7 linked regions of the Canis lupus familiaris genome follow. The protein of the gene in region 1 interacts with the protein of each later gene in a pairwise test. Links are inferred from orthologs where the notes say so. Each region holds a gene or a part of one and is shown in the gene's direction. Other genes may lie near its edges. The genes, in order: DISC1, RANBP9, ROGDI, AKAP9, TUBB, MLLT10 and STX18.

Region 1 (3,500 bases):
CCACACTAAATAGATGCAAGAAGAAACAGGTGAAGTTAATTTTACAATATATTTAATGCAACCCAGTTCATCGAAAATATGATCATTCCAATATGTGATAAACACAAAAATTATAGAAATATTTTGCACTCTTTGTTTTCATTCGAAGTCTTTAAAATCTGGTGTGCGTTGGACAGTGTCAGCACGTAGATAGTATATGTGATTAGGGGCCATAGGACGGGACAGGGCAGGCCTAAAAATAGCAGTTTGGCTTTGGGTAAAAGCAAAATCCCCAACAGAATGTAATTAAAACAGAAACTTACTTTAGGGACCTAGTTCCTCTGACCCGCCAAAGATGAGAACAGCTGGCGGCCACTTTGTGAAATTTCTTTCTCTGGACAGTTTTGTAGCTCCAAGGATTTCAGTTTCTTCACATCTGTATTAACATGCATATTGTACTTTAAGGGCCTGCAGTGATGACCCCCATACCACCCCCAGGATGGAGCCGAAGCTGTGGGAGCCCACTGCTCAGGACACCCTGCGTGTGTCCATCACCAGACGAGACTGGCTTCTTCAGGAGAAGCGGCAGCTGCAGGTGAGCAGGGGAAGGATGCTCAGAGAAATGAGAGCTTTGGCCAGCCACCCGTGAAGTCCAAAAGAGAGAGATGGGTGGAGTTGGCTGGAGGGCTGGTAGGAATCTCATTCCACAAAGAGGGGTTGAAAGCTCAGCGGTGTTTGTGCCCATTTTCAATATTCCTCATTACTTTTTGAATATGCTTTCCTTGTCTGCCAGGCCAATTTGTCACCTCTGATCATTTTGATCTTTATGAGGTTCTTTTGAAAGGCAGGAAGAAATGTGTTCTGTGAAAATCCTTCATGGAAAATTGTATTGAGTTGAAGTGTGAGGAGCAGTTGTCAGGGGGCAGAGTTGTAAGTGTGGGCTGGGCAAGGCTAGCGTGTCTGGGAAAAACCAGTAGATATCACATGAAAGTTCCAGATTGGCCCAGAGTGGTGGCCAGGAACCACTCAGGGGCCAGAAGTCTAGATGCAGCACAGAGTTAAGGCAGGAGGCTATCAGGTGCTCTGGAAGTGGACTCCCCCTGCCTGAGGCAGGGACCCTTGAAGTTGGGTCCATACGACCTGGAACCTACGGTCTCGAGACAGGAATGGAGGGTAACAGGGAGCATCTATGGAAGACAACGTGACTTCCAGGAAGAGTATGGGTCTTGAACACCTGAGTGCAAATCTTGGTTTAGGTTCTAAACAATGGAGTGAGTTTAGACTGTTTTATGGGCTTGGATGAGTTCTTGGACTGCCCTCCCATCCCTACCCCCTGGTTCAGAGTATTCTTATTACCTGAGCTTGCCCATCCAAGTCCCCATAACAGCAAGGTGGCAAAAGCCATCACAACTTGAAAATATTCTCCAGTAAACTGAATACGTCTATATTCAGTGAGTATCGTCCTAAAAGTTTGTGTTGTGATGTATGGGGTTCAGGAGCGAAGGGTCAAGAAAGAAATCTTGAGATGTCTTTGGTGCAAAAAGGTGGTTTTATTAAAGCATGGAGACAGGACCCATGGGCAGAAAGAGCCTCATTGGGTTTGAGGAGTGACTGATTATATGCTTTTAAGTTGGAAGGGGTTTGGGGAGAGTGTAAGTCTAAGAAATTTGGAAGCAAGGTTTCTAGGACCTTGAGGAGTCATTTACTGCTAGTAAATTCTTAGTCATGAAACCTTTCAGATGTATATCAGTGGGCCATATGTTTGGAGGATGATTAATAACATATATCTTTGTTGGGGGGTAGAGGTAAAGGAAGTTTCTGAAGGGATTTTTATATGTTAAAGAAGACTTACAGAATCCTGGAAGTCAAGCTAATGTCAAGCTGGGGTTGCTTTTTGCCTCTAGCAAAGTATTCACGTTGAGGCAGTTGAGTTCCTGGAGGAAGGTCACCCTGCTTGTCTCAAGTACTTGTCAGTGGACTGCAAAGGAAATTTGATTATTTTTCTTATATGTCTTTTGCTTTTGTTCTCCACATCACTTTGGGTAGCTGAAAATGTGAAATCTGGCTTTTGGTTTTGAACAATATTTAATATTTACAATATTAACAATATTTGAAAAATATTTACAATATTTTTCAGTAGCCTGCATAATTCCTTATGATGTCAGAATGTACAGAAAATAGTTTTAGACTGGGATACTTAGTGTTTGAGGAGAATGTTCTCAGCAGAACTCTGGGGGAACGTGAATATTCATTTATTCAGCAGGTGTTTGAATGCCTCTTATATTCCAGATACTGTTTGAAATGCTTAGGATTTCTGTGAAGTTGATGTTCTAGTAGAGGTGGGCATGGGGAGATAGATAAGAAATGGCAAACATAATTAATTCTCAAGTTACGTCCTTACTATGTTGTAAGGTGGTAAGAGCTATAATGCATAAGCTAAGATCAACCCATTGTGCAGTGAGATGGAAGCCAAGGGAGCAGCCACATGAAGGCCTGAAGTGGGGATGTGCCTCACATGTTCAGAGGGCAGCCAGCAGGCCAGGGTATGGGAGAATAGTAGAGGACAAAGTCAGGGAGAAACGTCTTGGAGGACCTTGCACACCTTTATAAGCACTCGGGCTTCTGTCTGACTGCAGTGTGGCCATTGGAAGGTTTTAAGCAAAGCAGCAACATAATCTGACCACGTTTTAAAGAATCACTTTGACTTGTGTGTTAAGAATTGGGTGCTGGACCACTGTGGAAAAGCACGGTGGGTCTTCACAACGTTAAAAATAGAATCATCATGCAATCAAGCAATTCCACTTCTGGCTATATATTCAAAAGAATTGAAATAAGGACCTCAAAGTGATGTTCAAAACAACATTTTTCACAACAGCCAAAAGTGGAAGCAACCCAAGTGTCCATCTACAGATGAATGGATAAGCCACATGTACTCCATCCACACAATGGAGTGCTATACAAACTTAAGAAGGAAGGAAATTCTGACACATGGTGCAACTTGGAAGAACCTTAAGGACATTATACTGAGTGAAATAAGCCGGTCACAAAGAAGGCAAATACTATGCTTCCACTTATATGAAGTTCCTAGGGATTCATAGAGACAGAAAGTAGAATGGCAGTTGCCAGGGGTTGGGGGAAGGATGGGGTAAATGGGGATCTGGAGTTTTGGTTTATAAGATGAAGAGGTCTTGGACGGGTGGTGCCAATGGTTGCACAGCAATATGAATGTACTTAATGCCATGGGACTGGCATTAAAAATGGTTAAGATGGTGAATTTCATGTTACATGCATTTTCCACAGTTACAAGGAAAGAAAACAATAGGATACGGGCAGAGGTGGAGGATGGGAGGTTAGTTGGGAAACAATGCCAATGATATTGTAACGATGGACCAATGGGAGACATATTATCTTCTTGGAGCATCTCAGGGGTGGATCTTCAGTCCCAACCAACTAAGTCTCTACCCTCAGCTCAAACTGGAAATGGGGTCAGGAGGTAGAAGTTTTAGGTGATCTGTACTTGG
Region 2 (3,500 bases), on another chromosome or scaffold:
AATTTGTCATTTTTACATGCACAGTTCTATGGTATTAAGTATAGTCACACTGTTCTGCATTTGTCAGCAACCAGCCATCTCCAGAACTTTTTTTCGTTATCCCCAGAGAAACGAACTCCCCATTTCTCCCTATACCCAGCTCCTAGCAACCACCATTTTACTTTTCTGTCTCTGTGAAATTGAATTTGACTACCCTGGGTACCTCATCTAAGTGGAGTCATAACATATTTGTTCTTTGTTACTAGCTTATTCCTAATAGCAACATGTCCTCAAAATTCATTCATGTTACAGCATATGTCAGAATTTCTTTCATTTCAAAGGCTGAATAACTGATAGACATTTGGGTTGCTTCCACTTTGGTTATTGTGAATAATGCTGCCATGAACAGGAGTGTACAAATATCCACTGGAGTCCCTGTTTCCAGTTCTTTAGGGTATATACCCAGAAATAGAATTGTTGGGTGTATATATATATTTCATATATATACACACACACACACACACAATATATATATACACACACACCCACACACACACTGTGTATATACTTACATATACCTTGTGTGTGTGTGTGTGTATATATATATATATATAATCTGTTTAATCTTTTGACAAATTTGATCCTCAGAATGCTATAGCTCTGTGCCATTTTAGTCTCACCATGTACAAGGATTCTAGTTTTTCCACATCCTTGCCAATACTTTTCTACATCTTTTTTTTTAAGTCTACATCTTTTTTTAATAATAGCCATCATAATTTGACTTTTTTTTATTGGCCTTCTGAATCTTTGTTATTTTAAAATTCACGTGTTATTAAGCTTAATATTTCACCTCTCTGATGTACCAGAAACCCTTTGTAAGCCAAATGTCAAAATTGTTTTGCTTTAGAGTAAAATTTTAAATATGTGGCTCATTTTGGTTAAATGGGAGGCTCTTTGCATCATGTGTACATTAAACACATCGTGTTCTTACATACTATTTTACTTGTTATCGAGTGCAAATATTATTTGATTAAATCATTTTAACTCTGAAAATAAAGTCCATTTTGATTAAATTATAGCCATAGGGCAGCCCGGGTGACTCAGTGGTTTAGCGCCACCTTCAGCCCAGGGCCTGATCCTGGAGACCCTGGATCGAGTCCCACGTTGGGCTCTCTGTATGATGCCTGCTTCTCCCTCTGCCTGTGTCTCTGCCTCTCTCTCTGTGTGTCTCATGAATAAATAAAATTAAAAAAAAAAATTATAGCCACAGCTAGGTTTTCATTTTCTCACTAAATCTTGATTAAAGGAGATACAGTGTCTTTTGCTTTATATGCTGATTTTTCCAGACACTTTTAAATTTAAGCAGTACATAATATGAAACCATAGTTAATATTTTTAGCATACTGTCTAAAGGCCATACCTATTGATAAATACCAGTTCTTGGGCAGCCCCGGTGGCTCAGCGGTTTAGCGCCGCCTGCAGCCCAGGGCATGATCCTGGAGACCCTGGATCGAGTCCCACGTCGGGCTCTCTGTATGATGCCTGCTTCTCCCTCTGCCTGTGTCTCTGCCTCTCTCTGTCTCTATGAATAAATTAAAAAAAAAAAAAAAGATAAATACCAGTTCTTAAAATATTTCCTCTTAGAAATCTGTTTTTACTAAATAAATAAATAAATGTCTATTTGAAATTATCTCAGTAAATTTTGTCTTTTCTTTTTTTAGAGTGCGTCAGTTTATAGAAATGGTGAATGGTACAGATAGTGAAGTACGATGTCTGGGAGGCCGAAGTCCTAAATCTCAAGACAGTTACCCAGTTAGTCCTCGACCTTTCAGTAGTCCGAGTATGAGCCCCAGCCACGGAATGAACATCCACAATTTAGCATCAGGCAAAGGAAGTACTGCACATTTTTCTGGTGAGGCTCAGTTTTATGACAGTACTTTTAAGTTTTTACCCTTGTTTATACTTTTGAATCCCCCCAAAAAATAAAGTTTAAAAAATCTGGACATTTCCATGTAGCTGTTTCACACATGTGCATACTTGGTCTCAGGACGTTCTGGAAGAAAAATTGTAAAGTGGGTCAGATTCGTGTGTTGTTACTACCAAGAGGGTAACTTGGAGTAGAGCTGTTTCTGAGAACAAGTTATAAGCAGATCTTCATAAACAAAGGTCAATATTCGGGTTGTCTCTGGAAATTAAATTGTAGACATTTGGTAAAGATAAAAGGTAGCTCTGTCGGAATGAAGCATCGGTGAACACTGGCGCCATGGCCATGGCGGCTTTAGTCCACCGGTCAGCAGGCCTCGCTGGGCTGCCAGCTTTCCTCCCCTCCCAGCTCACCTCCTGCCAGCATCTGCTCTGCCCGGCCCTGTTCCTCCTCGCCCTTCCTAACTACAGTTCTCTCCTTTCTTGGCTTTTATGCCGTCACTTCTGTAGATTTAGTTTCTCCCAGCCTTCTTTCTTTGCTTGTCTCGTTCCATTCTTCCCAAGGCATTCTGTGGCCTCCTTATGTTCAGCTTTCGAAACAAGTCAGACGCTGTTTCCTTTCCTTTCATAGACCAACACCTTTGCTTTTGCTCAGTTGGCATATACCTTTCTACATTCCTGCCTCTTGTTTTATTTACATCGCCATCCTGTACATGCACACGATTCTCTGGTTTGTGTCCTTCTCCCCTTCCCATCTAGAATATCATACATTCACGCACGCACGCCCAGCTTCTTGGCTTCGGTGGGTTTATACGTGAGATGAGAGCGATGAGAGCACTATTCCCCTGGGGGGGGGGTGTTGTGGGGAATAAATAAGATCCATAATTAAGCCTCAGTAACTGTTAGAGGAGATGCTAATTATTAGCCTACAATGAACATCCTTATATCCTTTCAAAGAAGTTATCTGTTTACTATCTAAGTCATGCATTGACTTCCCTACATTAGAAGAATTTTAAATGCAGGATCAGAATCTGGGTACGTTATTTGCAATGTAATAATAAGTTGGTGTGTGTTTCTCTGTTCATACATCTTTTTCTGTTTTTTTTTCCCCTAGGTTTTGAAAGTTGTAGTAATGGTGTCATATCAAATAAAGCACATCAATCATATTGCCATAGTAAACACCAGTCATCCAATTTGAACGTACCAGAACTAAACAGTATAAACATGTCACGATCACAGCAAGTTAATAACTTCACCAGGTATGTGACCTCCCGAGCTTACGCAGTACTATAAACCACCTAAGGATAAGTGTCTTCGTTTTTAACAATTTAGAAAAATTGCATTACATGGTCCATCAGGGGGGTCTGAGACTTCCTAAGCCCCAGAGAATAAAAGGGCATGGAGTAAGTTCCCAGAGTTTTTCAGTCTCCCCGTGTGCACACAGCCTCTTTCCTTTGTTCCTTTCTCTGAATCTGCAGCCCTCTGCCCTCTGCGGGGGTCTAAGAATCCTTTCTGGGCTCTGCCTTCTTCTGGTTTTCCTGCCGGCACAGGCCTGTACAGATGGTCACATAGATGCTGTTCTTATACTTCCAAGTTAA
Region 3 (4,292 bases), on another chromosome or scaffold:
CTGCAGACTTCCACCTGGTTCTGAAGAGCCACTCTGACTGGATCCCTTCACAGCAGTCCCACTCTCTCCAGCCTGCTCCTGTACATGTTCCCCACCTGCCCACCTCTTCATTCTCCCTTGCTCCTCCTCTTCTCATGGAGACAGTGTTTCTTTCTGTCTGTCCTTTGGCCCAGACCCAGCCTGACCAACTGATGGCCAGCTCTTGAAACCGGAACGAGTGTCTTCACTTCAACCAGAAGCATGGTCTTCGATGCTTCCAGAGCCCCAGGGTCTTTCGGGAGGGAAGAGAACTGGGCCTGACCCAATCTGAACTATCTGACCCTAGAAGGTTGGAGCTAAGACGTCCTTGAGACCCTAACATTTCTCCTTGGATAGGGGACCAGACCGGCTTCAAATGTGGCATAAAAACAAGGAGAAGTCACTTGAAGGATGTCAACGTTTTCTCCCTCGTCCATGGGTTGCATTTTCCAAAGTCACGCTTTGCAGGTCAGCATTTCTAGTGAATATACAGAATGAGACCACACTGGTGTGGGCCTCTCCCCCTCACAACCATGGCCCTTTCCCACTGATCAGAAATCCAGGCTAGGGGGAGGGCAGGGAAGATGCCTGCAGGTTTTTGGCATAACTTCACTGGGATTTGGAATTCTTTTCTGTCTGAACACAAAGCCTGTTCTAGTCCTAGCTGGACACTGGGGGGGTGGGGGGTGGGGGAGATGCTGTAATGAAACTGGTTAGTCAATGTTGTCTTAATATTGTTGACAATTCTGTAAAGTTTCTTTTTATGAGTATTTCTGTTTAAGCTATTTCACCTTTGTTTTGAAATCCTTCCCTTTTAGGAGAAAATGTGACACTTGTGAAAACTTGTAAGAAAGCCCCTGTTCCGCGAACCTTTTTTTTTTTTCCTTTACACCTTTAAATGACAAAAATCTAGGTAATTAAGGTTGTGAATTTTTATTTTTGCTTTGTTTTTAATGAACATTTGTCTTTCAGAATAGGATTGTGTGATGTTTAAATGGCAAAAAAAAATGATTTTGTGCAATTAACAAAAAGCTACTGCAAGCAAAATAAAACGTTTCTTGGTAACACAACTGTGACTGACTACCTGGGCAGTGAGCACCGCCTGCGCCCAGACTCGAGCGCCGTGTGGGGGGGCCGCGCTGGGACTGCCGGCAGGCGCGCGGAGGGCGGGGCCGGGCGGGGACAGGCTGCCCCGCCGGCCAATCGCCAGGGGCGATGAAAGCCGGGCACCCCGCCGGCCAATCAGTGAGCGCGAGCGGAGCAGGGCGCCCTATCAGAGCCAGGGAGGGGCGGGACAAGCGGCCGCCGCCCGCGTCGGAGAGCTGAGGTGGATGCGGCGCCCCTCGCACAGCTCGGAGGCGGGTGGCGGCGACGGCCCCACGCCGCAGGCAGCTTGACCCTGGGCGGCCGCTCGGCCGGTCGGCGGCGGGGGAGGGGCTGGGCCCGGACGCCGCGGGCGCACTCACGGCCGGCGGACCCCGCCTCGGGCGGGCGGCGGGCGGCGGGGATGGCGGCGGCGATGGCAGCGACGGCGGCAGAGCGGGCGGTGCTGGTGAGGCGCGCGGGCGGGCGGCGGGGGCTCCGGGGGGCGGCGGGCGGCTGACGGCCGGGCTGTCCCCGCAGGAGGAGGAGTTCCGCTGGCTGCTGCACGACGAGGTGCACGCGGTGCTCAGGCAGCTGCAGGACATCCTCAAGGTAAGACCCCCCCCCGCCCCCCGCCCCCGAGCGCCGGCCGGGGCCGCGACGCGCAGCGGGCACAGCAGGCCCTGCCCCGGGCACCCGGCGGCCGGTCGGGCCCCGCTGCGTAGTTGCCCACCTAACCACAAGCAGCTGCGTTTGCGGTGGGAGGGGGGAGCGGAATGAGCCCCGGGCCGGGCGGTCGGGGTCGGGGTCGCGGTCGGGGTCGAGGAAGGCCTCCTTTGGAGCTGTGGTCGCAAGGTCTCCAGCATCTTACCCAATCTCTTGGGGCCTCCCTTTCGCAAGAACGAGATCACAGTACCGGCCTCACGGGGCTGTGGTGAGGATAAGCCAACTCCTAGAAATGCCCAGGTATTGCCTGTTATGGCCAGAACTTCAGGTTGCCACGACTAGCGTCGTTCCCTGACTCTGCTCCCCAGCCAGGGGGCCACCTCTGTCCTATGTCCCTGAGTTGGGCAGGAGGTGGGTGTTCAGGGAATGTGGAAGGAACAGCTATCCGCTCTGGTAGGACCTGAAACTCAGGTGGCGGGGGAGGGGCTGGGGAAACAGGGAAGGTGCCCCGGAGGCTTGGATAGGGTGTTCGGGTGAAACTAGCCCACCTTGTTCTTTCCCCTGGCCAACCCAGGAACGGGGCTTCTGGAAGGGGTGGGTGGTGAGCCGGCTTGGGTGAACTTTACCCTACTCCCCTCTGTCCCTGCAGGAGGCCTCTCTACGCTTCACTCTGCCGAGCTCTGGTACCGCCACCGAGGGGCCTGCCAAGCAGGAGAACTTCATCCTTGGCAGCTGTAGGTGAGCCAGGGCTGAGCAGAAACGAGAGGGGTGACACCTGGGATGCCCTCCAGGAGAGGCCCAACATCCAGAGGGTGCACATGTGCTGTGGGACCGGCTGGGCCATCCTGTGACAGCCAGGGGCAGCCTGCGGGGAGGGCTAGGTGGTGGCAGAAGGCGGCCACAAGCAGTGCTCTGACCCCCGCGTGTTGCAGCACAGACCAGGTGAAGGGCGTGCTGACTCTGCAAGGGGACGCGCTGAGCCAGGCGGTGAGTCCCCCAGCCCTCTTTCCCTTTCCCTGCTGCTGGAGGATCCAGGGGGGAAGAGTATGGGGGCCTCCTGCTGAGCTCTGCCACCAGTTGGCTCTGTGACCCTGGGCAGGATCTTGACTTCTCCGGGCCTCAGTTTCCTCATTTGTAAAATAACAACCCACCCCACCAAACCTCCTCATGGAATTGGCGTGTGGCTTCAATGAGAGGGACAGGAAGGAGGATGCTTTGCACACAGCCCGGCCCTGAGTCTGGGCCCAGTGAAGCGTGGGCAATGGCTGGATTAGGCTGGCCCCAATTCAAAGTGGAATCCGCCAACATCTGAGCTCCCGTCCGTGCCAGGCGCCAAGATGTGGGGGAAGGTGCCTCTCTTCCAGTCCATTGGCCTGGACCCATGGGTCCTGTCTGCCCACAGTCACACCTCCCCCCGGCTGAGGCCACCTTCCCTTTCTCTTTTCCCTTTCATTTCTTTGTGGTTTCTCTGGAGCCTGAGTTCCTGTTTCCTGACCTCCCTGTGCACACCCCAAATGGCCAGATCTCCTGCCCCCTGGAATGGCCAGGACCTGAGCACACACACCCGTCTCTGCCCCCTGCTTCAAGGCTTGGGGTGGCCGAAAGCAGGAGGGTGTCCTTCCGCTTATACACTCTTGCCCGTCAGGACGTGAACCTGAAGATCCCGCGGAACAACCAGTTGCTGCACTTTGCCTTCCGAGAGGACAAGCAGTGGAAGCTGCAGCAGGTAATTGGGCCCTTCCCCGGCCAAGGCTCAAGCCACAAGGGCAGGCAGGGGCAGGCCCGAGCAGCACAGAGGCCTCCCAGGGCAGCCCTGGGGGATTTCAGGCCGCAGCAAGCCTGGGAGGCTGTTTCCTAGCAGCAGAGCTGGGGCAGGGAGTGCTGCGGCTTGTGGGAGGTGGAAAACCTATCCTGTCTGTAGGCCCCTGGACCCCCATAGGAACCATGGGGGTCCTTGTCCCCTTCCCAGAGCCTCCTGGGGCTTCTAGTGGCTCCTGGGGGCCACATCCATGCTCCCTATCCACTCCTGTGTGGTTGAAACCTGCCCCTTCCCCCCTCGCTGGACCAGCTGGTCTTTGCCCCAGGGCCTTTGCCTTGGAGCCCTCTCTCCCTGCTTTTCTCATCACTTGGGTGAAAAGAGCCCCCACACACACACCGTCCTGCAGACTCACCCTCTTTGTGCAAGTCACTCAGTGTGGTGTTATCTTGTGCCTTTACTCTGCTGCCATCTGTTCTCTTTTAGAAGGTGAGCTGTGTAACGGCAAGCCTGTCACGGTCTGTGCTGTTATGTTTAGCACCCAGTCAGGGCCTGGCTTTTGGAGGGCCCAGAGCTGATAGCTGGTAGGGATGGGTCAGGCAGGCGGTAGCCAACCCACGCCTCCAAGGAGGATGGCCCCTCAGGTGACGGCCTGACCTCTAGAGCACCGGAGACCGTGGCTGCTCTGACGTTGGCATCTCATCTTCCTGAGGCCCCACCCGCTGACCTCTCGGTGGGCACTGTTTTCAGATCCAGGATGCCAGGAACC
Region 4 (3,500 bases), on another chromosome or scaffold:
ACCTCTATCCTGTGATCCAGATTTATATTTTCCATTAGTTACAGGAACTCTTTCTCTGGGGAAATGCGCCTCATAGTGACCCCTTAGGAACCTCACAGGCACATTCTAAACTGAGCATCTTCTTTTTTTCCTCCTTCTGTCCCCAACCCATGTTTCTGGTCCTGATAGAGCCCACTTTGGGAATTTGGAAGTCACCCTAGACTACCTTCCTTCACTCTCACTTGTGTATCCTAGTAGTAATGAAGTCCTGTGCTTTTACTTCCTAAATATCCCACGTGCCCTTAGTCATTGCCTTTATTCAGGCTTCCAGTATTTCTCACCTAAACTATTGTAATGACTTCCTGATGTGTCCACCTGACACCAGGATCTATCTTCCCTAATTTACTGTACTTCGCATGCTGCTAGCAAAGGAATTTTTTTTAAGATTTTATTTATTTATTTATTTGAGAGAGCATGAGCAGGAGGTGGGCAGAGGGAGAGGGAGAGGGAGAAGCAGACTCTCTACTGAGCAGGGAGCCTGACACAGGCTCGATCCCAGGACTCTGGAATCATGACCCAACCCAAAGGCAGATGCTTAACTGACTGGGCCACTCATGTGCCCCCAAAGGAATATTTTAAGACATAAATTTTGTTTGTAGCACACTCTGAAAGCCTTTAGGGCTCTCTGCTGCCTCCATTTAGGTCTATTATCTATAAAGTGAAGGCAGCCTTTACTCTAACGTAACCAAGCAACCTGTAGCTCCTGAAAAGCAACACACTCTCCAACAAAACCCTTGTGCCTTTACACATGCTATTCCTTCTGCTTAATATGCTCTTCCCTATCTTCTTTCCTACCTATGAAATGCTTCCTAGTTATTTAAGACTCAGTTCAAGCACCACTTCATCATGAAATCTGGTGTTCTCAGCGTCTGCTCACATGTTGATGTGCATTGTTCATAAACATTTGTGCTTACACGACCTTAGTACCATTTTCTCTTTCTAGCCTGGTTTAGTGTCCCCTGGTACTTCTTGTGGCTCGTTGACTGAAAGACTGCTAAGACAAAATGCTGAGCTGACAGGACATATCAGCCAACTGACAGAAGAAAAGAATGATTTGAGAAATACAGTTATGAAGCTAGAAGAACAAATCAGGCGGTATCGACAGATAGGAGCTGGCAGAGATTATGTACGTCTGATTTTAGTGTGACCATGTTAGAAATATTGCTGAGTTACAATTTCTACTCTCTAGTTTCAATTTTTAACTCTAATATAAAAATATTAGATATCTGATTCTTAGTAAGATCATTGAAAAATGGTAGAGAGATGACAATAATAATGATAATAATAATAATAGATATCATTTATTGGGGGCCTTCTCTGGGCCAGATCCTGGGTTCTGTACATTCAGAATCTTTAATCCACATTCAGTCTTGCACATGAGAAAACTGAAGTCTGTAGTCCAATCAAGAACTGCTTATCTCCAAAGCCAGATACTTTGCTACCTAGGAACCACCAGTGGGTCCATGTTAAGAAATGTTCAAATGTGAATTCTGACTGTTCCTCATCAGTTAATTATCAGTTATTATGTTTGTGACTCAAGTGAAAGATGCCATTAAATTATTTATTTCAGTCTAATAAACCACTCTAGCAGTTTATTTAAAATTTTTTCCAGTTAAAAACTACAAAATAAATTGCTAGCTTCTGTAATATAAAGATAGGAATATAATATAAAGATAGAAAGGACTCCTGAGACAAATACAGGATAACACATCCACAGAGCTTCTGCATGGATCCACTTCCCTGTGTATAGCCGGGGATTTTTTTCCGCACTCCCCCAAGGCGCTGTTTCAGGGTTAGGCTCTACATTTGAACCCAGATGGTCGGTCTATTTATTAAGTCTCTAGACTTTATATTTCAAAGCTCTGCAAAAATCTAAGCACTGTCTTTTGGGTGAGGCTTCCATAAAGATTTTGTTTTAAAATTAATCTACTAAGCAAAGGACCATATACTTAATGTATATTCTTTACTATCAATTGAGATCGCTGTTGAACTCTCCCTCTCTGAGATTGGAAAGCTGAGATCCCATAGGGGATACCTTTAATGTGTTTAATTTAGATTTTTCTTCAGAGACTTATTCCTAAAACTCATGTAAGTGGGCTCTCGTTTCTGCAGTCTTCCAGGTTTTCATTCAGTGGTGGTGCCAGCATTGAAGCCATCATTGCTTCTGAAAAAGAAATCTGGAACAGAGAAAAGTTGACTCTCCAAAAATCCTTGAAAAGAGCAGAAGCTGAAGTGTATAAACTGAAAGCTGAACTAAGAAATGAAACTTTACTTCACAACCTGAGCCCTGATTCAGAGCATGCTGCTATAAAGGTAGGAGACATCTTCCATCTAAACATGTACCAAGGCTGGTCCTCTTGCCTTGTTTCATCTCTCACTAACCTTAACTGAACAGAGTAAAGAAATTTAGGTGGCGCTCAGGCTGCCTCTAGGTCTCTCACTATTCGATGTGCATCATGAGTACAGGCCTCCAGCTGGTCACAAAAACTTGGTGGCAAGGCATGCCGTACTGGCAGCACCGCGAGCTCACGGTCCTGCTTCCCACCATTTCATCCCTGAAGACCAACAGAAAGTTTCATTTCTACTGCCAACAAAAGCTCTACTACATTCAATACCAGAGCATCATGTTCTGTAAGATGGTAAACCCTCTGAACTGCCTTTCTCCTGACTAAAATGAATACTGTAGTTAAAACTGCTTTTAATCTGTTAACATAAAATCCAAAACAGAAAGAAACATGTTTGGAATATTTCTTTTAACTATGGAGTGAACATAAATTTATGCTTCTTGAAGAGACAGAGAACATTAACATTGAAAACTTTAAAGAAAAAAAAGATTAGCGACCGTAATAATAAAAGTAGCTCTACGCAGTTAGAGGAGAAAAAAACTGAGATAATAATGGAATGACAAAAATATTTGCAATGAATATGATGAATAGAGCCTAAACTCCAAAATGAAACCCCAAACCTAAGTATAAGGTTTGTAGTCACATTCCATGGACTAAAAAGAGGCAGAAATGTAAAATCTAAGGTTGATTATCTTTATCTTCAACTTTGCTGATCAAATGGAAAACAGTAGTAGGATATCTGCCATTCCACTACTAGTACTTTTGTAAAATAAAATCTATGTTATCTTCCCCTAGAGAACAATTTGAATGGCTTTTCAATAATGTCTTTATGTTCTTCCCCCCTTTTTTTTTAACATAGAGAATTTATGGTAAATACCTGAGGGCAGAAAGTTTTCGGAAAGCGCTCATTTATCAGAAGAAATACCTGCTGCTATTACTGGGTGGGTTTCAGGAATGTGAAGATGCCACCCTGGCTCTGCTGGCCCGGATGGGGGGACAGCCAGCCTTCACAGACCTAGAGGTGATCACCAATCGTCCAAGGGGCTTCACCAGGTTTCGGTCAGCCGTCAGAGTGTCCATGGCAATTTCTAGGTAAAGTGTTGGAAATAAAATGCA
Region 5 (2,061 bases), on another chromosome or scaffold:
CCACGTCTCCATTTCTTCATGCCTGGCTTTGCACCTCTAACCAGCCGTGGAAGCCAGCAGTATCGGGCCCTCACTGTACCTGAACTCACCCAGCAGGTCTTTGATGCCAAGAACATGATGGCTGCCTGTGACCCCCGCCATGGCCGTTACCTCACTGTGGCTGCTGTCTTCCGTGGGCGGATGTCCATGAAGGAGGTAGATGAGCAGATGCTCAACGTGCAAAACAAGAATAGTAGCTACTTTGTGGAATGGATCCCCAACAATGTCAAGACCGCTGTCTGCGATATCCCGCCCCGTGGCCTCAAGATGGCAGTCACCTTCATTGGAAATAGCACAGCCATCCAGGAGCTTTTCAAGCGCATCTCAGAGCAGTTCACAGCCATGTTCCGGCGCAAAGCCTTCCTCCACTGGTACACAGGTGAAGGCATGGACGAGATGGAGTTCACCGAAGCTGAGAGCAACATGAACGACCTTGTCTCTGAGTATCAGCAGTACCAGGATGCCACCGCAGAAGAAGAAGAGGATTTCGGTGAGGAGGCTGAAGAGGAGGCTTAAGGCAGAGTACCATCACCTTAGGCTTCTCCATTCCCTCTTCCTCAGCTGCCCCTATCCTCTCCCTCAGAATTTGCATTCTCTGCCTCTTATTTTTTTTTCCCTTTTTTTTGGGGGGGGGGGTCCTAGAACAGTGCCTGGCACGTAATAGGCGCTCAATAAATACTTGTTGTTTGTTGAATGTCTCCTCTCTTCCACTCTGGGAAACCTAGATTTCTGCTGTTCTGGGTCACCCTGTATTTTCTTTTGGTGTCCATTTTCCCGTTTGTGCAGTTGATATTTCCCTTTGTTTTTTAAGGTGATTCACTGAGAAGCTGGGTCTCATTAGATCCCATTTAGAACATGTGCTGAAAACATCGCCACCATCCTAAGCCCATGTGGTAGCCCAGGGGAAAGGAAACCAAGCTACCTCATAGCAGTAGAGGTACATATCGAGAAGGTAGGGTTTTCTATTCTAGAGCAGTTTTAGAGAGGGAAATCCAGGCTCTTGAAGTCCAAATCCAGGAATCTTCCTGCTCTCAGCTTCAGGGGAGATGTTGACAGTATTGTCTATTTTTAGTCTTCTTCCAAGCTCTGTCCTGAGCTGTTTCTTTTGAGGGGTCTGTGCCACTTTGTTGAGTGGGATCCTTCCCTCCTACATAAACTGCTTCACGTGTTCGATTTCTTCCTTTTCCCAGGGGAAAGAGGGACTGGCCTTGATCCCTAAAGTCTGGAAAGGCCCCCTCCCACTCCCCACTTTTTCTTAACAAAACTCCAGCTCTACTGTGTACATATAGAAAAGTGTGTATTGCCACCTAAATCATTTGAGTCATTCTTCCAGAGGGGACAAGGAGACCCTCCACCTTTTGGCAACACCTCAGCTCTTCCTTCTGCTATTCCCTTTCCCCACACACCCTTGATTTTTGTCCTGTCCTACATTTCAAATTTCTACTTTGTGTTGAACTTGCTTTTTTTCATATTGAAAAGATACCATTGCCCCAAAAGCCAAAAATAAAAAAACTGAAAAAAAGTTGCGAGATGTGTGCTCATTTAGGGAAAGATTGCCATTGGACAACCTGAGGCTCAAGTTCAGCTACGCTTATACTCTGCTCTTAATAAACTGATGAGAATATCCTTGTACTTAACCTTATCCTGGTAGAACTATTTCACCATCCTCACTACCAGTCTCAATAACTAGGATAGGCATAGACTCCTACAGGATTGACAGAAATGGGAACTGAGATGAATGTTGAATAGTGCGTAAGTGGCTCCCAGATGAATAGCCTCTTGGGAACTTGTGTAGAAATGCAGATCACCAGGCCTACCCAGATGTACTGAACCAGAAACCAGCTGACTAGTAATCTGTTTAGCAGTACTCCAGGAGAATCTTGTGAATGCAGAGTTGAACGCTATTATTGCACTACTTTCAGTGCACAGCACATCCAGGATTCATTTGAGTTATGGGTCTTGCTTTTTTCTCTTACACCTTGGCAATTTTCTCATTTAACTCCAGGGAAAGATAAAGATAAC
Region 6 (4,005 bases), on another chromosome or scaffold:
CATATCGATGCCTTTTAAGAACATTATTGTATGTTCAGAAATTAATTGTTGCCATTCTCCAAAAAAGAATTTGCATTGTATAAGTACGTAATCTTTTAGTCTTGTTCTCTCAATGAACTGACAGCTACAAGAGAATTCCCATTTTTGTGTGTCTCTTTAGTGCATACTTTCCCTTACACCTTTAGATTTCCATTACTCTAGATATCTCATTTAGCTTTTAGAATGTTTGAGTATATTTGCTAACATATGCTTGCATTGTCTAATATCTAATTATTAAACAGATTTCTAGCAGTTAATTTATTAGAAATGGAAAAAAAAAACAGCCATGCTACCATTCTTTTTTCTTTATGAGAACATTTGGGATGTTTTTAAAGATTAAACCAGTCATCTTTTGGTGACTGACTAGGAGAACTCGGGTTCCTTCATCCTTTAGCATCGAATAACTGTATTTTCCAGATCTTCACATTATATTGCTAATTCCTGATAAACAACCATTTTGTACCTGCAAGTTATTAACCAAAGCCATGAATTCACCTTGTACGTATGCCTGTCATTTAAACAATGTATATTCCTATTTCATGCCAAACTTTCATAATTCTACACTTTTTGCCTAAAATCGATGTTGGGCTTACAAGGATAGATACATAGGGGATAGGGCAACAGTGGAAGATTTTACAGCTCCAAAGTGCACAGTATCTGGTTAATTAATCTATTCAGATAGGCCTAATCCATTTTCTATTCGTATGTGAGGAGAGAGCTCCCATCTTTTTGCCACTTAAGTCACCTTAAAAAAAAAGTGACCTTAAATTTTCAAGAGTAAATTTGGAGTACAAGCCAAATCAGAGAACTCCCTCAGTCAAACCTGGACTTCCCTGTCTCGGGGTTTTATCATTTGGTGACTGACTGGAACTTGGGTTCCTTCATCCTTTGGCATCACATTCCTGCATTTTCCAGATCATCACATTATACTGCTAATTCTTGATTAACAACCATTTGTACTCCCACACAGCAACCTGAAGGTATCCTTGGTGGTTGGTGTTCCCTGTTGGAGTGTTACCCTAACCCAGGCTTTTGACCTTCAGTCGGCGATGCACTTTCATTTGTCATTGGGGCCAGTGTGGTGTGTAAATGGGCTGCGGATTCTGGTGGCAACTTCCACTGCGTGAACTTTGGGTAGAGTCCAGGATATGTGAACGTAATGGGTGGAGAAGCTGCGGCAGCACTGTGCAGCGAGCGCGGCCAACTGCAGGAAGCCATGCTTCACTGCACCCTTCTTGGAGGCTGGCATACTGGCCCTACCCCTGCTACCCACGGGCCAGGGAAGAGCCCGCAGGTAGGTTCCCAACGCAGGGAGACGCTCGGGGGGAGTCAGCCCCCTCCGGCCACTCACGGAAAAAACCCCTCCCTCCGGGTCTCCGGCGCCCTCCTCCCTCCCAGGCCCCTCCGAGCCGCGCACGCTCGGCCCGCGCGGCCGGCGCTGCCGAGGGCGGCCCTACGTCCCCGCCCCCGCGTGCGCGCCCCCGCCACCCCTCGCCGGCTCGTTCCGGCCTCGGCGCGCCGCCGGCGCCGCCTGCCCCCACCGCCTGGCACACCTCGGCGGCTGCGAGCGGCGCGGGGGAGGGGAAGGGGCCGGGAGGTAGGCCGGGGCTGCGGGCCGGACGCGGCGGCGCGCACGCAGGCCGGGCCTCTCCCGGGCCTTCTCCCTCACGCCGGCTGCGGGGCGGGCGCGCACGCCGAGTGACGCTCGGAGGAGGAAGCGCAGCCCCCTTCCCCTCCCTGGCTGCCCCTGGCCCAGCGGGAGCCCCCCCAGTGCGCCTGTGCGGAGGCCTACTTGATTATGTGTGCCCTCTCCGGGCTCCAGCGTTAGCGGCCGGGTGGAGGTGGGGAGGGAAGAAGACGAGGAGGCGGAGGAGGCGGAGGAGGCGGTGGAGGGGAGGTGGGGGGAGTCAGCAAGGACATGGCTCCTGACTCCTGTGCGGAACGTGAGTGACTGAGCGGCAAAGCCCGAGTGAGCGAGCGGCCGAGCGGCGGGCGGGGGCCGGGGGCGCAGGGAAGGGAGCGGGGGTGGGGCGGCCGTGCGGGGGGGAAGCACTAATTGGCTTGCATGTGTTTTTTAATGGTCCCCCCAACTCCCTCTTAGATGGTCTCTAGCGACCGGCCCGTGTCACTGGAGGACGAGGTCTCCCATAGTATGAAGGAGATGATTGGAGGCTGTTGCGTTTGCTCAGACGAGAGAGGCTGGGCCGAGAACCCGCTGGTTTATTGCGACGGGCACGGCTGCAGCGTCGCGGTGCATCAAGGTAAACACCCAACCGCCCGCCGGGCCGAACCCGGCCTGCTCCCAACCGTCACCGCTTCCCCCACCTTGGCAGCAACTGCCAGTTCCCCTTCCGCCCCTCCCCCCGCCCCGCCCCCGCCCCCGCCCCGCTCCGCGGCCCGGGATTGACTCGGAGGGTCCGCGGCGGGGCGGAGGGGGTGTGGGCTGTGCATGTGGGAGAAAGTGCGTGTGGCCTGGACTGTCATGTGATTCTGCGCTCACTCTCTCAAGTGTCATTTGGCCGCCGCCTGCGCCCGGGAGCCTTGGGGCTGGAGACTTTCCGAGGCGGTGGAGGCCGGGGGTGGGGGTGGGGGTGGGGCGGGGTGGGGTGGGGGGTGCGGGGTGGCGGCCTGCGCTGCTGGGGCGGCGGGGGCGTGGGGGTGCGCCCCTCGGTGCTGTCACTGTGGCCGTGGGCCCGGGCTTGGGATCGTGGAGGCCCCTCCCCCTTCCCTGGCTGCTCCCGTCTGCCGCAGTGTGTCTGGAGACTTCCTGTGGCATCGAGTCTGGCTCGGGAATGCCGCTCACGGCGCCGGGGCGGGTCGCCGAGTCGGGGGGGGGGGGGGCGGAGGGGGTTGCCGGGGCGCTTCAGGTTAGGGAGGGGAAGCGCCGCTGCTGCACCCCAAGCTTTCTGGCGGAGACCCTGCCGCTGCGGATTGGGAGTTTGCTGCGGAGAAGACGGTGGTGGCCTTCGGTCGCCGCGAGGTTGCTGCTGCAGGAGTGGCTTGGCTGAGCTGCCCTGGGCTGCTGGATGAGGCTGTGGAGGCTGCGTCTGGCGACTTCCTCAGCCCAAGTGACTGAAGAGAAGAGGAGGTGGTGGAGCGGCCAGGGACTTGGGGGAGCACTTTAGCTTATTTCTGGGTGTACCCATTCGGTGAGCTTTCGGGATACTACAGAAAAGCCGGAGGACACCAGTAAGAGTTTTTGGCCATTGAAGTTTCTTTTTCTATGTCAGGTGGTAAGGAAACAACTTAGATAGTTCTGGGGTGGCTCTTCTGCTTTCCCTTTTACTCATTAACCCATCCTGCTTACCATTTCTGAATTTGGCATTGAGTGATGCAGAGATTTAGTAGTGTATTGGGAAAGATATTATCGAATGAGAAAAACTGAACATAAGGGGCAAAAGTTTACTCTTTATAAAATGAAATCTCAGAATGGGTAAGGGAGGCTTAGGTGATAGTGGGTTCATCACAGTGCAGTTATTCCCATTTGTGTTTTGATGAACACCTTCGTCAAAAAATTGGATACCTTCCCTTTTTTAAGGAGTGAGAGCAATGTATGTATATAGATACTGATTTTAAGGTTTTTAGAGCTGATACAAAGCTTTTCCAACACAGTGTTCATTGGCATTTGTGAAGGTATTTCTTAACGAATTGGATGCTAAATTATCAAGTTTGATTAATGTCATCTCCCAGTATAGAAAACATTCATTTAAACATAGTTTTTTTTTTGTCTAGAAGTAGTACTTCTTGATTACATTAAAATAAAAGTTTTTGGACATTGATGCAGTGTTTCTTGACTGATAGGACTTTTTTACACTGATATATTTACAAATTTTATTTTATTATTTTTTAAGATATTTATTTATTCATGAGGGACACAGACATAGGCGGAGCGAGCAGCAGGCTCCACATGGGGAGCCTGATGCGGGACTCCATCCCAGGACCCTGGGATCACAACCTGAGCCAAAG
Region 7 (3,500 bases), on another chromosome or scaffold:
GCACTCAACCACTGAGGCACCCAGGCACCCCAGGACTTTGTATTTTATTCTCAGTGAGGGTGAGTAGCTGGCAGGGCTAGTATATGGGAATGGAATGAGTTGAGTCTGTACATTATTAAAGGTCCCTTTTAACTTGATATTTTGTGATTCTAAATTTCGGTTATAATGTCCAGAGTGTTTAATTATACTCGGCCAGCATCCCTGTTAATAGTAATGTTGGCACATGTGCCCAGCTTGTAGGATGATAAGCAAGGCATTCTAACTGTCATATCTCGAGCTTCAGGATGGTGCATTAGTGTGGGTGAGCACCCTCACTAGCTCAGTAACATTAAAGTTTTCTAACTTAACATCAGGAGAAATGAAATGTTTCTAAAAGGTCTTTTATTGTGAGTCTTGAAGACCGCTTGTCAACATGGAAAAAATGAGCCTGAAACAGTTTCTCACATATATCTCAAGAGCCTCCAGATAGAATCTCCCATGATTCTGCATGTGGCACCCAGAGCGTCTTTCTAATATTAATCCAGGTCTGTCATTGGGTGACGCTAAGAGCCTTCAGTAGCTGCCTTGTTGTTCTCAAAGTCAGGGGCCACATTCCCACTCAGGCCTGTACGCCCCGGTGCCTGACCCCACTCCCTGCTCACCTCACTGCTGCTGGACTGGCTGCTGCAGGTCGGTCTGCACAGAAAGCATCTTCTGCCTCATGGCCTTCATATCCATTGGTTCTGCTATTTAGAATTTTCTCCCACCTCTTAGCCTGCCCAGTTCCTCTTCATCCAGTCTCAGCGTAAATGTCATGTCAATAGCAAAGCTTTCTCTTCCCTTCACGCTCCACCCAGACAACATTTGTGGTCATTTCCTGCTGCGTTAAAATTTTGTGCCCCTCCCCACTTGTTTTTTTTTTTTTTTTTTTTAAGCCATATCATGTCTGAATACGGAAGGATGACAGACACAGAGCGAGACCAGATAGACCAGGATGCTCAGACATTCATGAGGACCTGCTCTGAAGCAATTCAGCAACTGAGAACACAAGGTGAGGTGCTCTGAGGGACATGGCCGGCCCACCATGACTTTGTGAAGCCTCAGACAAGGTTCAGAGGGCATGCCCAGCTGGAGGTCTCTTGTGTGTTTCTATTCAGATTTAGGTCTCAAAACTTTAAAATTCCTCTTTTCTCAAGATCAGCTATAAAAACTAATGAAAAGGCCATGATTCAGGCTATGGGTGGGATGCGGGAGGTGGAGAGGAGTTCTTCATACACAACGAGACATTTCCTAAGGATACAAGGCCAGAACAGACAGATTGTGCACACCCCTGTGTTCTGTGTGGCAGTTAGGAGGTGTGGACCGGAACAGAAGAGGGCTCTCTCAGCTCTCTACCTGGAGCATGAAACTTGAGGAGCAGACCCGCACGCTGAAAAGTTGCGCTCTGGACCCTTGGGTGCTCTGGTGCCTACCCTAGCTCCACCACATTCTACCCATATGGCTTTGGGCAAGTCACTCAGTCACCTTGGACCTCAGTTTCTCCATCTGAAAAGTGGACACAATTATAGGGTGTATCTCTTAAAGTTAGGAGAATGCATGAATGTGTTCAGTGCATGCTTAGGGCCATAGCTGGCACTAGGGTTGTTAGTATCACGTCTCCTTCACTGCTGTCTCATTGTTACTGGGGCAGTGAGATAGCTTCCCAAGTTGCATATCTTCCTTGACCCTTTTGTAATGTGCTTAGGCAGATAGCTGTTACATTAAATAGCACAGAGCTCAAAGTGGCCAGATGCTGCCATGTTCTTGACTCCAACTTGTATTTGGGAAGCTTCTGTCACAGCCCTGATGGGCCACTTAGAGTCTGATGAAAGCTATAGACCTTCTTGCCAGAGAAATACACACACTCACAGAATTTTGTGTACAGTCTCGTGGATCTGCAGAATGCAGAATGATCACATGATCATGGGTTAAGCTGCCCAATAGTAAAACCATGATTCATGTCCCCTACCCTTAAGGGCCTATACATTCATTGAAATAACCTAAAAATACGTGTTTATGACTAAAATCAGCATTTAAGTCACCAAACCATGTGACCTTGGGCTTCTTATTGAATCTGAACCTTATTAGTTTCTCTTTGTGTAAACTGGCATCCAGATTGCCTTTTGTATTAGCAGTAATATATGTAAAGTACTGTAGAGTGCCTGCGTGTAGTAGATGCTTGGCCTCTCAGTAAATGGGAGCTGTCCTCCCAAAATAAATGGCACAGACCTTAAGCAGATATGATAGTTTGCAGAAGCAAGGCATCCTTGTGGCTAAAGAGTCGAGGAAGGTTTCTTTGAGAAGAAAGGTTTGACTTGGTGTGTTAAGGGCCCTTAGAATGGGGGTGGCTGAGCGGGGAAGACAGGGCATTCCAAGCTGAAAAACAGCCCAGACAGGCAGGAGGAGCGTGGGGCTTGAGTCTGATTTAAACGTGTTACTTGAAGGTCAGCTTAAGCATTGGATGCTGTTAATACAAAAGGGGTCAGCTCTCAAGAAGCAGCAGCATCCACTATGATCCCTGCGTGCTGGAATAAACCATAAATTCTTTGACTATAGTTTTCTGCAGTTTAATCTTTTACTCTTGTGAAGCCCAATAAATCTTCCTCTTTTAAAAATGTAATGTCATTTGACACAGACTTGTTTTATTGCTGTATTTTTACAAATACTTTCCATAAAGAAACTGTTCTGAGGAAGCTGATGAATTGTTCCTTGTGTAATTGAACACAAACGTCTGACTGCTGTCCTTTTCTCTTCCAGCCCACAAGGAGATACACTCCCAGCAAGTGAAGGAGCACAGGAGTGCAGTTCTGGATTTCATCGAAGATTACTTAAAAAGTATTTCGTTTTATCTTAAAGGTCAAATGTGGCATTTCACGATAGATGATAGAACATTTAGCTTTGCTAGCTGAAGACGGTAGTGTCTCCTTATACTTAATGACACCATTGCCTGAGAAGCGGTTTTAAATGGTCTCTGTTCTGGTGTTTTCCCCTACAACAGGAGTATGTAAACTTTACTCAGAACAAAGAGCCATCCGAGTTAAACGAGTGGTGGATAAGAAAAGACTGTAAGTATCGTCTCTGCTGGTGTTCCTTAACTAATAATAGTAATGATAGCAACTAATGTTTATAGAGTCCTTATGCTTTACAACATATGGTACTTGGATTTTTTTCACAAAATGCTGTAGCTAGGACTTATGGAGCACTGCCTTTGTGCCAGGCACAAAGATTTGTACTAGATTTGTCATTAGCTCCCAACCACCCTGTGGGGCAGGTACCATTCTTATCCTCATTTTCCAGATGAGGAGGCTGCCACTTGGGAAGCTGGGTAACTCACTCAAGGTCCCATAGTCAGGAGGTGACGAAGCTGCACTTGGGGTCCAGGTTGCTTGTTATTTCAGAATCTGTGCTCCAGCCCATCTCCTGTTAATAATGCTGGGTGGCTGGCAGTTTTAGCCATCTTGTGTCTTTCTCTTTGCCCCTGC

The links.
Region 2: the proteins of DISC1 (region 1) and RANBP9 interact in binary tests that used the Homo sapiens proteins (3 or more experiments, as listed by UniProt). The link is inferred for Canis lupus familiaris from reciprocal best matches to the Homo sapiens genes DISC1 and RANBP9.
Region 3: the proteins of DISC1 (region 1) and ROGDI interact in a two-hybrid assay, tested with the Homo sapiens proteins (2 studies listed by BioGRID and IntAct). The link is inferred for Canis lupus familiaris from reciprocal best matches to the Homo sapiens genes DISC1 and ROGDI.
Region 4: the proteins of DISC1 (region 1) and AKAP9 interact in a two-hybrid assay, tested with the Homo sapiens proteins (2 studies listed by BioGRID and IntAct). The link is inferred for Canis lupus familiaris from reciprocal best matches to the Homo sapiens genes DISC1 and AKAP9.
Region 5: the proteins of DISC1 (region 1) and TUBB interact in a two-hybrid assay, tested with the Homo sapiens proteins (2 studies listed by BioGRID and IntAct). The link is inferred for Canis lupus familiaris from reciprocal best matches to the Homo sapiens genes DISC1 and TUBB.
Region 6: the proteins of DISC1 (region 1) and MLLT10 interact in a two-hybrid assay, tested with the Homo sapiens proteins (2 studies listed by BioGRID and IntAct). The link is inferred for Canis lupus familiaris from reciprocal best matches to the Homo sapiens genes DISC1 and MLLT10.
Region 7: the proteins of DISC1 (region 1) and STX18 interact in a two-hybrid assay, tested with the Homo sapiens proteins (2 studies listed by BioGRID and IntAct). The link is inferred for Canis lupus familiaris from reciprocal best matches to the Homo sapiens genes DISC1 and STX18.

Annotation. Positions count from the first base shown.
Region 1 is NC_049225.1:8,131,399-8,134,898, reverse strand, and holds part of DISC1 (disrupted in schizophrenia 1 protein), read left to right. Parts: intron 1-444; coding exon 445-574; intron 575-3,500. UniProt on the Homo sapiens protein: Involved in the regulation of multiple aspects of embryonic and adult neurogenesis. Required for neural progenitor proliferation in the ventrical/subventrical zone during embryonic brain development and in the adult dentate gyrus of the hippocampus.
Region 2 is NC_049256.1:14,380,784-14,384,283, reverse strand, and holds part of RANBP9 (ran-binding protein 9), read left to right. Parts: intron 1-1,700; coding exon 1,701-1,891; intron 1,892-3,016; coding exon 3,017-3,161; intron 3,162-3,500. UniProt on the Homo sapiens protein: May act as scaffolding protein, and as adapter protein to couple membrane receptors to intracellular signaling pathways. Acts as a mediator of cell spreading and actin cytoskeleton rearrangement.
Region 3 is NC_049227.1:36,909,306-36,913,597, forward strand, and holds the start of ROGDI (protein rogdi homolog), read left to right. Parts: upstream 1-1,492; 5' UTR 1,493-1,525; coding exon 1,526-1,570; intron 1,571-1,641; coding exon 1,642-1,713; intron 1,714-1,911; exon of another isoform or gene 1,912-2,059; coding exon of another isoform or gene 2,060-2,067; intron 2,068-2,416; coding exon 2,417-2,505; intron 2,506-2,699; coding exon 2,700-2,754; intron 2,755-3,412; coding exon 3,413-3,493; intron 3,494-4,273; coding exon 4,274-4,292.
Region 4 is NC_049235.1:17,683,276-17,686,775, forward strand, and holds part of AKAP9 (A-kinase anchor protein 9), read left to right. Parts: intron 1-982; coding exon 983-1,165; intron 1,166-2,151; coding exon 2,152-2,352; intron 2,353-3,243; coding exon 3,244-3,476; intron 3,477-3,500. UniProt on the Homo sapiens protein: Scaffolding protein that assembles several protein kinases and phosphatases on the centrosome and Golgi apparatus. Required to maintain the integrity of the Golgi apparatus. Required for microtubule nucleation at the cis-side of the Golgi apparatus.
Region 5 is NC_049233.1:654,087-656,147, forward strand, and holds the end of TUBB (tubulin beta chain), read left to right. Parts: coding exon 1-555; 3' UTR 556-1,561; downstream 1,562-2,061. UniProt on the Homo sapiens protein: Tubulin is the major constituent of microtubules, a cylinder consisting of laterally associated linear protofilaments composed of alpha- and beta-tubulin heterodimers.
Region 6 is NC_049223.1:9,418,538-9,422,542, reverse strand, and holds the start of MLLT10 (protein AF-10), read left to right. Parts: upstream 1-1,205; 5' UTR 1,206-1,255; coding exon 1,256-1,333; intron 1,334-1,562; exon of another isoform or gene 1,563-1,636; intron 1,637-1,684; exon of another isoform or gene 1,685-2,008; intron 2,009-2,140; coding exon 2,141-2,300; intron 2,301-2,918; exon of another isoform or gene 2,919-3,228; intron 3,229-4,005. UniProt on the Homo sapiens protein: Probably involved in transcriptional regulation. In vitro or as fusion protein with KMT2A/MLL1 has transactivation activity. Binds to cruciform DNA.
Region 7 is NC_049224.1:70,441,725-70,445,224, reverse strand, and holds part of STX18 (syntaxin-18), read left to right. Parts: intron 1-641; exon of another isoform or gene 642-797; intron 798-914; coding exon 915-1,030; intron 1,031-2,775; coding exon 2,776-2,853; intron 2,854-3,016; coding exon 3,017-3,083; intron 3,084-3,500. UniProt on the Homo sapiens protein: Syntaxin that may be involved in targeting and fusion of Golgi-derived retrograde transport vesicles with the ER.